Saccharomyces cerevisiae S288C: one gene and its partners. The protein of the gene in region 3 interacts with the protein of the main gene of each other region in a pairwise test. Each region holds a gene or a part of one and is shown on either strand. Other genes may lie near its edges.

What was found.
Region 1: the proteins of FPR3 (region 3) and NOP53 interact in binary tests that used the Saccharomyces cerevisiae proteins (3 or more experiments, as listed by UniProt).
Region 2: the proteins of FPR3 (region 3) and SPB1 interact in binary tests that used the Saccharomyces cerevisiae proteins (3 or more experiments, as listed by UniProt).

Annotation. Positions count from the first base shown.
Region 1 is NC_001148.4:275,509-279,241, forward strand, and holds NOP53 (Nop53p), read right to left. Parts: upstream 2,022-3,733; coding exon 654-2,021; downstream 1-653. Other genes in the region: ATP-binding cassette long-chain fatty acid transporter PXA1, read left to right, coding at 1-359; oxysterol-binding protein KES1, read right to left, coding at 2,887-3,733. UniProt on the Saccharomyces cerevisiae protein: Late-acting factor in the nuclear maturation of 60S ribosomal subunits, which is required for normal acquisition of export competence. Required for the export of the large subunit.
Region 2 is NC_001135.5:29,738-34,627, reverse strand, and holds SPB1 (27S pre-rRNA (guanosine2922-2'-O)-methyltransferase), read right to left. Parts: upstream 3,180-4,890; coding exon 654-3,179; downstream 1-653. Other genes in the region: PBN1 (Pbn1p), read left to right, coding at 1-485; RDT1 (Rdt1p), read right to left, coding at 3,632-3,718. UniProt on the Saccharomyces cerevisiae protein: Required for proper assembly of pre-ribosomal particles during the biogenesis of the 60S ribosomal subunit. Specifically methylates the guanosine in position 2922 of the 25S rRNA at the stage of 27S pre-rRNA maturation.
Region 3 is NC_001145.3:119,451-122,988, reverse strand, and holds FPR3 (peptidylprolyl isomerase FPR3), read left to right. Parts: upstream 1-1,664; coding exon 1,665-2,900; downstream 2,901-3,538. UniProt on the Saccharomyces cerevisiae protein: Proline isomerase that belongs to an abundant class of enzymes that catalyze the cis-trans isomerization of X-Pro peptide bonds and can accelerate the refolding of proline-containing polypeptides. Specifically binds nuclear localization sequences.

The DNA of each region.
Region 1 (3,733 bases), on a different chromosome or scaffold from region 3:
GTGAAAAGCAAAGAGTAAATTTTGCTAGAATCATGTTTCATAAACCACTATACGTAGTATTAGATGAGGCTACAAACGCAATTAGTGTTGACATGGAAGACTATCTGTTCAATCTTTTAAAACGATACAGATTCAATTTCATTTCCATATCACAAAGACCCACATTAATCAAATATCATGAAATGTTACTAGAGATCGGTGAAAATCGAGATGGCAAATGGCAATTACAGGCAGTTGGTACCGATGAAGCAATCACGTCGATTGACAACGAGATTGAGGAATTGGAGAGAAAACTAGAAAGAGTAAAAGGTTGGGAAGATGAGAGGACGAAGCTACGGGAAAAGCTTGAAATTATTTGAAAACACCCTAGAAAGGGAGAGATTTTATTTAGCGAATATAATTTATATATTATTTCCGTAACTGAATTTGTACTTTTGAATGTTTAACTGATATCTAGAGATATCGACATGGGAATGCCCTCTCAAACTAGAAAAGGGCAGAGAACGAAAAGAAAATGAAACAATTTGTTACCTACTATACAGTTGTTGGTCTTGCCAACACAAATATGAACATATATATATATATCTCACTTGATGAATCCACGTATCAAGGACAACCTTTTCATGGAAACATATACTGTAAAACAAAAAACTCTATTTGAAGTCCTTATGTGTCCACTTTTCAGTGATTTTCTGCTTATACTTTCTACCTTTCCTAACGGGCACTCTTGTTTCGACCTTACCAGAACTTTGTAGTTTTCTCACAGTATCATATAGCAGATTTCCTTCAGGTTTCAGTTTTCTCAATGAGTCAGATAATTCGTCAGAAAATTTAATCTCCAATCTTTCATCAATCACAGAGTATTTCGTCCCTAACTTGTGTTTCTTATTTTTCTTGCTTTTTTTAACCTTGTTGCTATCTGACTCTATGGCTGAAAGTATCTCAGTCTCTTCAGAATTGATAACTTCTTCTAAATCTTTAACACGTTGTCTCAATTCTTTCAACTCTTGTTGCAATTTTACTTTCTCTTCATGTCTCTTTGCCTTGTTTCTTTGATATTTTGTTTTCTTTTTATTCTTCACAGGCTTATTTATTGATAGTTTTATTTCCTTATCAGATCCACTACATTGCGTACTTTCATTTTCATTTTCATTTTCTTCTTCTTCTTCTTCTTCTTCTTCGTTTGATGAAGACTCTTCCTCTTCATTGTCATCTAAAGTTTCCATTAAATGTCTAATTCTTTCTTTGTACTTTTCCAAGGCGATTCTTTCATCTTCTCTTGCCTTTTCCTCTTTATACTCTTTGTTTATCAATTCTGACCAAGCTTTATTGTTGGGATTGTAGGATTTACCAGCATGTGGAATTTCTGTGAATTCTTTTACTGCAATTGGCTCTATATCTAAAGTACTTGGTCTGACTGAAGCAGTAGACCAACTTGTCGTGGATTTTTTCAATAGTTCTTCAGGTATCTGGTCCTTTTTTTCCACATCAAGTTTGATACCGGAAGGTAATTTGACCTTCTGTTTCTTTGAATTGGATTCTTCACCCCATAAGTCGCCAGCCGTTGTTTTAACTAGACCGTCTTTGGCAACTCTATTCTTGATCTTCGATTCGCCGTGTACTCTGCCAGCCAAAGCCATTAATTTCTTTAATTCGTGTTTAGAAACACCTTGAATCTTATTAGGATTTCCACTACTATTCTTATGGTGATTTAGTGCTGCAATTTTTGAATTCGTTTTAACGGCGTCTAAAATCTCTTTACTTTTTAGAACCTTCTTAATTTGTTTCCTTTTAATTAATTTATTTTTCAATATCTCATCACCCTCAACATCAACATGAAAAAGAGCATCATTTTGCAAAGAGGTTATATCACTGGTACCATGCGTAATTTCATGATCAATTTTCTTTTCCATATATTGTTCTACGTCAGATAAATCGATATTTTTTCTCCATGCTTTCTTACCCTTTCTTGAAGACTGTTTGTATTGAGATGGTTTCTTGGTTAGATTAGTTGGAGCCATTTTTAAATAAATGATTCATTAACGTGAGGATGGTATGGATCACAAGAAAGCCGAACTAATAGCATAAGTTGTAATGTAAGGACCCCATCGCATTTTTATTGCTCTTTTCTTTTTTAGAAGTGAAAAAGCTCGGGCACGGAAAATTTTTTGATGGAATTATAGAATTTCGTCAAATATGACTGTATTCTCTCAGAGCACACCTGTTAGGTAATACGCAATATTATGATAATATTACTTTAGTACTTGGCGTTAGCCTCTTGTGTTTCATTGTTATGGAGTGATAAAACAGGCCTATGGTTCGATAAGCGTACAGATTTTGGGATATACCATAAACTTTGTATAGAAAGTGTTGTATAAGTGCATATACTCCATCGATTATGTGGTTCTACAAAATTGACATAAGAAAATTAGAGAGTTATAAAAAAGACAAAAGTGAGGATATCAACAGAGAAGATAAAATATAGTAATAGGTTGTAAATAATAACAAAACTTGCATGAAAACTTGGTAAACTTCAAATTTTAACCTTCGTATGATGATTAAAAAGGATATGACATCATGAGAAAAAAATGAGCGATCTGTCTATCAATAATTAAAGGAAGAAGTAGAAATAGATAAAGGTTTTTTCTGCTTCATCTTTAACAGCAATATAGCATATTCTTGTGGTTCGAAAGAATAAATTCTAGTCATTATAGTGAAAAGAGAACAAAACAATATAAGATTTAGGGGATGGTAAAAATGATTTCTTAGTTCCTCTAATGATTTCATATCCTTTCCTGTCACATGAAGAGAAAAAGGAAGGAAAAAGAAGAAAAGATAGATAATATATTAGTGCAACGGTAACAAGTTGTTACTTTATCGTTCTCCTTACAAAACAATTTCCTTTTCTTCGTCCCACAACTCTCTTTGGAATCTCCAATGAATGGATGAAAGATCCTCCTTCCTGTCTTCTTTGTCACCCACCAAAGTACCACTTGGAGCATTCTTCGTTGATAAATTTAGAGCAGAGGCGAGTTTTAAGAAAGTGTCATCCTTTTCAGGTACAAGGGCGCCTTCTTCGGGCGTGACAGAGTAGTCAAAATCTTTGAACCATCTTCTTTGCCAGCTAATGCCTTTAGCTTCTTCCTCTTTTCTCAATTCTCTTTGCGTTTCTTCCAATTCAGTTTTCGTTTTGGCAATTAAGTTAAAATCGCCTAATTTGATGGCACCAGCCACGTCGTACCAGGCTTTTCTACTTTCCAGTGGGTGTTGCTCCTCCAAAGGCTTGACATTCAGATGTTCAGCAGGGATTCTAGCAGCATCGTAAAATAATCGTGATTCTTCTTTCTTATTTGCCTTGATTATTTTAGAAGAGCCAGACCATTGGCCTGATATTGTGTATAATGCCTTTTCCTTGTCCTTGCTATCTTTAGAGTCTTTGTAAATTCTTGCCTTGAATGAATTCTTTTTACCAGAAAAGTAGCCTCTACCTGAAAATTCAATAACACAAAGTAGACCTGTCGAAGATTGGATATATGATTTTCCTTCCAATTCAACAAAGGGAGAAGCGACAAGAATACCTTCAATATGCAATGGAGGTGGGGTAACCAAATAACTCTCATCCTTAATATCCAACATAGTGTGACCAAATTGTTTAACAGTCAGCATTAAGGATTTAGTGAAACTGGCTTTAATTTGGTTGTAGCCTTGCAGCTTAACCTTGTTCTTATCATTG
Region 2 (4,890 bases), on a different chromosome or scaffold from region 3:
AATTATTTATCGATAAATTCCAATCCTCTCCCTTACTACTTTTTGGAGAAGACGACTTAGAATTACCAGAATACTCTCTTCGAGATAAGGCATGGGGTTCTGAAAGTATCTTTGAATTGAAAGCCGGCACAATGAATGAAGTGACATTGCATACTAGATATATTGAGCCTTCTAATAATAAAGGGGATAAATTAGAAGTTTCATTTGATCCAGAAGTTATATTAGCCTGCGACACAGGTGACAATAAAGTTTCCCGTAATCCATTTTATAAAAAAGGTCTAGGATATGAATCTCTCTTTACAGACGATACTACATTCCGCCATTTGAACTCGACAACTCTTCTAGTACCAATTCCAAGGCCTGACACAAAGGATTATTCCAAGATCAAAAATGGTACGTTACTATGCTTACTCATCTCCATCATATACATTTTCTCCAAGGTATTTGGTAACAACAAGAAGAAAAGATCAGTAAAACGGGAATAAAAATTGTTCTACTGTGCACTCGTATTTTCTGAATTCAAAACGATAGGTTTCCTATAAGTTTTTTGATGATAATTTGATTAATTCTATGTATACATAATATATCTATTGCTTTCTTTTCCTTTATTTTCAATATTATACAAGGGAATGGAAAAATAATGCTCTTTGTTACTACTTTTTCTTGTGATGCTTCTTTGCGATACGTCTTAGGGCTCTTTGTTCATTCTTCATGACACCATCAACCATCTTATACTTACCCTTAACGCCCTTTGGTCTACCTGCCAAACCTTTGTTCCTACCTGAGGCAACAACCAAAGTAACCTTTGGCTTGGTCTTTGGTTTTTTGGTAACCTTACGCATCAATCTAGAAATTTCTTCAGCCTTGTCCTTCTCTGTCTTGTCTGAATCATCGTTAATCAAGCCCGCCTTCTTCTTGATCTTTTCTAACCGAGCTACGGCACGCATCCTCTTTCTTGCCTTAGCTTCAGCAACCTTCTTAATAGGACGGGCGTTCATTGCCTTTATTTTTTCTTTAATTGCCATCGCTGCCTCCTTAGTAATCGGCTTATTTATCTTTGAATGTTCCTTTTCATCTTCTAAAAACCAATCTGGCAAATTTTCGGTGTCACGGAAGGTGTATCTATTGAAACCTTCATCAACAAGATCATGCTTGTTTTTCTGACCCAATGCTAACTGATGTGCCAAAGTCATGGCTTCAACAGTAGCAATATCAATGTCTCTGGAATGCTTTTCTTTCTTTGTTTGATTTTTTTCTTCCTCTGAATCATAATCAGAATCGAATTCTTCTGATGCATTATCGTTGGCCACAATTTCGAAATCGGAGTCATCACTTGAACTCTCATCCGAAGAATCTGCTTCATCTTGTTTCTGGTGCATTTCTTCATGTTTTCTTTTCTTATTTAATTTAGAAATATCACCAACAGACTCGGAACTCATTATGCCATCATTGACGGTATTTACTGGCAAATCAGGTTCAACGTTATTAAATATCGGATCATTGAAAATCATACGTGCCTTACTACTCAATTTGTGATCACCTTCTTGTCCCTTCAATTTGCTAATCAAATTGGTGATGGCTTCATCATCATCGGAGTCTCCTTCGACACCTTCATCGTCATTGTCTTCGATATAATCTTTACCTTCCTCTTCTTTCTTTTCTAGACTTCCCTCATTAAAACCGGTCCATTCTTCCTCATTATCGCCACCACGTGCTTGCTTAGCTCTAAACTTGGCATCCCTTTCCGACCTTCTAGTTTTATAATCACTATACATGGCATTCAACTCGCTTTCTAAATCGTCCGCATCAGCGGCAGAATCCTTATCTTTGATCATGATGTTTTCATCAATGTAAATATCATTATCTTTGGCTAATTCATCGTCTGTAAAAATCATTCTTTTCTTACCCTTCGCCAAGTCGTTCAAGATACCAGTCTTTTCTGCAGTTTTCAAATTAAACAACGATTCTTTACCCAAACTTGCGGCTTCAATACCAATATCAGTGGGGGTTATCATGTTCATTTGCATTCTCTGTAGTTCCTTTTGCTTCATTTCGTTCTTCCTTCTTCTTTCGCGCTTGACATTTAGACGCTGCTTCTCCTGTAAACCTTGCAAATCTTTTTCAATTTGCTCCTCTTCTGTTAACGGTACTACTTCAATTTCTGTTTTAGCGTCGTCCTTAACTTCGATGCCCAAGATTTCCCTTGCAATCTTTCTCCATCTTAGGATCATTTTAAAATCCTTTTTACCCAAGACTTTTAAATCTTCAATACAGGAACGGAACTCGTCTGTGGTTTGTTTCAATTTCTTCAAGATCTTCCATTCATGGTCATTCTCATCAATTGTAAACTTATTCATTTCTCCAAGCATGCTTATTGGGTCTTCCGTCCTGACAAAATCCAAAATTGAGGTTTCATGATACAGTAAATTATCACCTTCCTCATAACCTTGTCTTTTTCTAACTTTTTTTTCGGGATTATAAATCTTGGACTCCATATTCTGTTGCCCATCTGGCAATTCTTCAAAAACTTCTTTTGGATCCAGTAATCTTGGGTCCAGCCTCTTTGGTGCCTTGAAACCTTTACACACTACAAAAATTTCTGCAGAAACATTTCTTGATGCGGGTGGTTTTGTGGCTTCAACTTTCTCAAACAATTGTTGGAAAACCCAAATCAATTTATTATAATCCTTGGATCTGAAAATTTTAGTAACAAAAGTACCGTTCACCACCAAATTTTCGACGGCCAACTTCAAAGCTTGTAAGGTTAATTGAGATTGGGTGAAAGCATCCTGAACCCAACCCAAACCAACATTAGGAGCACCATCATGCAACACTGTATCAGCTTTCCAAGTCTTCATATAACCCCTCAATTTTGATCTACAATCTTCTGTTGTAATATCACTTTGAAAAGTTATAACATTGGGCATCGGCTTCATTGGAACAATATCAACACCAATAATTAAGGAGTTGACAGGACAGAGTTTGGATGCAACTTGACACCATGAACCAGGAGCAGCACACAGATCAATAACAACCTTCGATTTTTCTAAGAAGTGGCCATACTTTTCATTAATCTGAATAATCTTAAAGGATGAACGAGCACGATAACCTTTCTCCTTTGCTAGATAATAGTATCTATCTAAACGTCCCTTACTATTCTTCTTTTGTGTCTTACCCATTTTTGCCAATCACCTCTATTGAGTTAAATCTAACTACAAACTGAAGCAGAATGAGTATTGAAAGAATCTAAACTTAAACTAACTACTATACTATTATTGCCAATTTTTCATAATGGGCATCGCAAAAAATTTTTCAGACAAAAAGAAACAAGCTGGGTAACCCGCTTTTGCGGTTTTAGTATACTGGAGGAGATTAAAATTAGACAAAAGAATAATAACGTAAGGTGAAAAATGTTTAAACTCAATAGTGTGAGGTTTACGTGGCTATATATACGCAATATATACACTTTAATCCAAATTATCCCTCCCACCTGCTTGCTACTCTTTTGAGATTTATCTTAACGAGCTAAACAGACAGACTTCGGAAGTTCAAGCTGTCCAGAACTCCTTTATAGAGCCAAAAAAAGTAATGCTTTCGATTATTTCTGGTTCTAGAAATTTTTCAATACCCTTTAGTAGTCTTCTTTGCGCCGGATTGCTGGACAAATAGAATTTCTTCTTGACTTAACTATAAAAACAAAAATCTTCTGTCGTATCATAGCTACATGCTGTAGTTTTCGATTAAATACATGCTGCAGTTTTCGATTAAATGCTAATTTTTGTATCCAATATATAGCTATTCATCAATTGAAATATTCATTTTATAAGTAAGATTGAAAAAAAAAAAGAAAACCACAAAGAGGAGCAGAAACGTGGCAATCTAAAGAAAAAAAAGCACCATCTTGCAAACACTAGCACATTTGATAATCATAGAGAACAAAAATAATTCAAAGGTGTGCTTGTAAGTCTTTAAACGCGCCTTTTTCTTTATTTGTCGAGAATCGTGTAAATTTCCCAATACAGTAATTACACGATCCACGCTGTCCCAAAAAAGTTCAAAAAATTTTTCGTGCTTTTCCTTTATTGAAAATCATTTAGTCCAGTTTCATTCTGTGTTCTGTGTTTCTTCGACTTTGAGATTTCTATTGAAGTAGTTATTTATTTACAAAATTTATTGTATTTACACTTATTATAAATTTTCTGTCATCTCGACTTAGTACACCTGGCGCTGGTTGTTATTGGCAATATAATAGACAATATTATCTCATCAATACAACAAATTAAACTCCAGAAGTCACATAAAGTATACAATTAGTCTTGAAGCATCTGATTTTGAAATCTTTTTGGTATCAATTAACGTGCCGGAATACTGTTTGCACGAAGGAATCAAAGATAGGTACTGTGTGCGTCAACAGAACTTAAGCACTAGTGATTTATATTAAAAAAACCAAACAATTAGAACAATTAATTAACAGTGACTTTGAAATTCAGAACTATATTTACGTCGTCTGCAATTAGAATTAAAAGGAAATCAAAAATTCAGATACAAAGTTCATGGCATCTGCTTTGACATATTTGTTATAATTGTGTAAAAGGGCACAGTCAATGAGTAGTAGATAGTAAAGCCTAAATAATTATATGTAGCAATTGCTTCTCTTGAAATTGGGTATCATGGGTGAAAAATTATTGTGCATTTATAGCAAACCTATTAAACAGATCAATGTTTTAGTGAAAATTATGTCACTGGACAATACAAATCTTTGGAAACCGTCCCTAGAATTTGGAATTGGATAATTTAACTCTTTAGAATATAACATCTACCGAAGTACAACAATATCCATTTTATTAACGAAAGTACTGCTACAATGAAAGTATGGGTTATTATTACCTA
Region 3 (3,538 bases):
AAAATACAAATTGTTAAGCAAAAAAGTGTCGCTCTGCTGTAAGCTTTGTGATGTTATATTTGATCGTATGGTGAGGAAAAACAATACACCTCATGTTATATAATGATCGTTGTTTTAGGTGAGATGTGGAAATAGAAGAGAGATTTTTAAACAAAAAGTAAATGGTTTTAAACGTTGGCAATAACAAGGCCTGCTCACAGCAAATAAAACGGGAATAGAACAGGAACGGGAATAGAACAAAGATAAGAAAATTGAAAGTAGAAAAGACAAATAGTGAGAAACAAAATGCAAGAGAAAATGCATCGCTTGAGCCCAATGTTCCTACCAATATTAAGGGGATTTCAGGTATCAAAGTCGCATTGACGTATAAAATACTCCAAAAAATGCGCTCTGTTTACTTTGTTATCTATGAAATGAGGAAAATGCAACCGGTGAGTGTAAAAGCATCCTGCAGGAATTTGTTACAACTTCATCTCAGTTACCAACATAGCCAACGGACGTCGATATTGTCCTTTACCCCACTGGTAGTGAAATACTTTCGAGTAAATGTCAGGACGTTAGAAATCATCCGAGTCATGCTTCGACTCCATGTATTTTTATTCTCTAAGTGTGCTTTGGAGTTTCCCCGCGAGTTCTCACAGAATTGGCTTTACTGCCAAAAGTTGAAGACAGCATAGTCATTGGCTTCGTCAAAAGATCTTCATTATTTAAAGCAAGCAATGATCAATTCTAAGACGGGTTAACAAAATATGGACAGAGCATCTTCAAGCAAAACTAATGCGGCAATGTTAAGCTTACATATATTCGAACGGTAATAACATCGATAATACGGTTATAGCCACCAACTCTGCATTATAGAAATGAGAAAAGCGCCATAGCTATTATTTAACGTAACTTACCAGAAGTCCTTGAGCAGACGATTGAGCATTGAATAAAAAATAAAATTCTTGTAATTCTTGGAAGGAAGAACGACACAAATAGATAAATGGCGTATTTTCTGAGCAATGAACTGTGTTCCATCAAAAACATTTTATCGCACACCATAGGCACTTAGAAAAACAAACCTTTGTGCCAGTATTTGAATGAAAACACTTTGGTTGAAATGTATTGTGAAATTAATCATCGAGCACTTTACGGTTGGCAACGACACATTACTGACGTTCTTTCGCCGATTTGTTACTTTAATATATTGTACAAAAATGCATCAAAGAACATAAAAGAGAGCGATCGCACAATCAAACTTCTTTTGGAAATAATCTGTCATCAATGCTCCAAACATTCTACTATCACCTGTTCATGATATTATGGGGAGAATATGCCAAATGTATATGACACATCGCATACTTTCTACCTTTTTCAACTGGCTTGCTTCCTCTACCTTTCACTAAAATCTGGATTGCATCTACATCTATATAGTCAAAACCGGCAAGAACAGAGATTATGATACATGCTTCATGTTCCATTGATTAGAATCCACTAGTATTAGCTCGCTGTTCAATTTTCAGCCCTCTACGGACTGTCGTCATTCCTAAAGGACGGCAAAATTTAAAAGTGAAGGTAAAATTTTTAAATTCGAAAAAAGAGCCTACTAACACGTTTCTATATAATACATAATTGTGTGAAAGTTCATACATAATTGAAAGCAAGCATCCAACCAGCCCAATATGTCTGATTTGTTACCACTAGCTACCTACAGTTTGAATGTTGAACCTTATACCCCGGTTCCAGCAATCGACGTCACGATGCCCATCACCGTTCGTATTACTATGGCTGCTTTGAACCCGGAAGCCATCGATGAAGAGAACAAACCATCGACTTTAAGAATTATCAAAAGAAACCCGGACTTTGAAGATGATGATTTTTTAGGTGGTGATTTTGATGAAGACGAAATAGACGAAGAATCCTCTGAGGAAGAAGAAGAGGAAAAAACCCAAAAGAAAAAGAAGAGTAAAGGCAAGAAGGCTGAAAGTGAAAGTGAGGATGATGAAGAAGACGATGACGAGGACGATGAGTTCCAAGAATCCGTCCTTTTGACTTTATCTCCGGAAGCCCAATACCAACAATCTTTGGACTTGACCATTACTCCAGAAGAAGAAGTCCAATTCATTGTCACTGGTTCTTACGCTATCTCCTTGAGCGGTAACTATGTTAAGCATCCATTTGATACTCCAATGGGAGTCGAAGGTGAAGACGAAGATGAAGACGCTGACATCTATGACAGTGAAGACTACGACTTGACCCCAGATGAGGATGAAATTATTGGCGACGACATGGACGACTTGGATGACGAAGAGGAAGAAGAAGTTCGTATTGAAGAAGTCCAAGAAGAAGATGAAGAAGATAATGATGGAGAAGAAGAACAAGAAGAAGAAGAAGAAGAAGAACAAAAAGAAGAAGTTAAGCCAGAACCTAAGAAAAGCAAAAAGGAAAAAAAGAGAAAGCACGAAGAGAAAGAAGAAGAAAAGAAAGCTAAAAAAGTAAAGAAGGTCGAATTCAAGAAGGACTTAGAGGAGGGTCCAACAAAACCCAAAAGCAAAAAGGAACAAGATAAGCATAAACCAAAGAGTAAGGTTTTGGAAGGCGGCATAGTAATCGAAGACCGTACTATCGGTGATGGCCCACAGGCTAAGAGAGGTGCCAGAGTAGGCATGAGGTACATTGGTAAGTTAAAGAACGGTAAAGTTTTCGACAAGAACACCAGCGGTAAACCATTTGCATTCAAACTTGGCCGTGGTGAAGTTATCAAAGGCTGGGACATTGGTGTTGCCGGTATGTCTGTTGGTGGCGAACGTAGAATCATCATTCCAGCACCATATGCCTACGGGAAGCAAGCTCTGCCAGGTATTCCTGCCAATTCCGAACTGACATTCGACGTTAAATTGGTTTCTATGAAAAACTAGTACACGCGCTCGTACGGATAGATGTTTATATATATTATTCTTTTTACATAATATTGTAACCTTCTGTATGTAAATCCGAAAACATTCTATTTCTTTTTAGTATCTATTGCTCTTTATAAGCTTTTCATTTTACTTTTCTCCGCGGATGATACAAATAAAGAAGCTGTGTTGTATAGAAAGAAATATATGGCGGCAAAAAAAGCGTTATCTTCTTTCTGTTCCTATTTCACTGAGTGCTACTGGATGGTCGTCAAGAAAGGTGAAGAAATCTTCAAAGCAATAAGAATTCAGACATTGACGTTAAATTAGATTATCGCCGCAGCTGTAATTGCGGTTATGGCCTCTAGTATTTAGTTCGATGTTAATGAAATAAAGCGCAAGCTGACTGTGAACGATAACCGCCAGGAAGGCTAGACACAGCTCTTCAGCTAAACAGTAGCCGGAACACATATACATTAGGGAACATTAGAAATAAGGCTCTCGTTGATCATCCTTGTAACTGAAAATTAGAACCGTTAAACGCTGCTGATTGATGGATTCCAGCCGTTCTCTTCCAACCCCTTTTACCCCGATTGTTCGTCCACTATCATGACTTATTATCCACTAAAGTGGCGTTGGCTGTACATTCGGGTGATGGT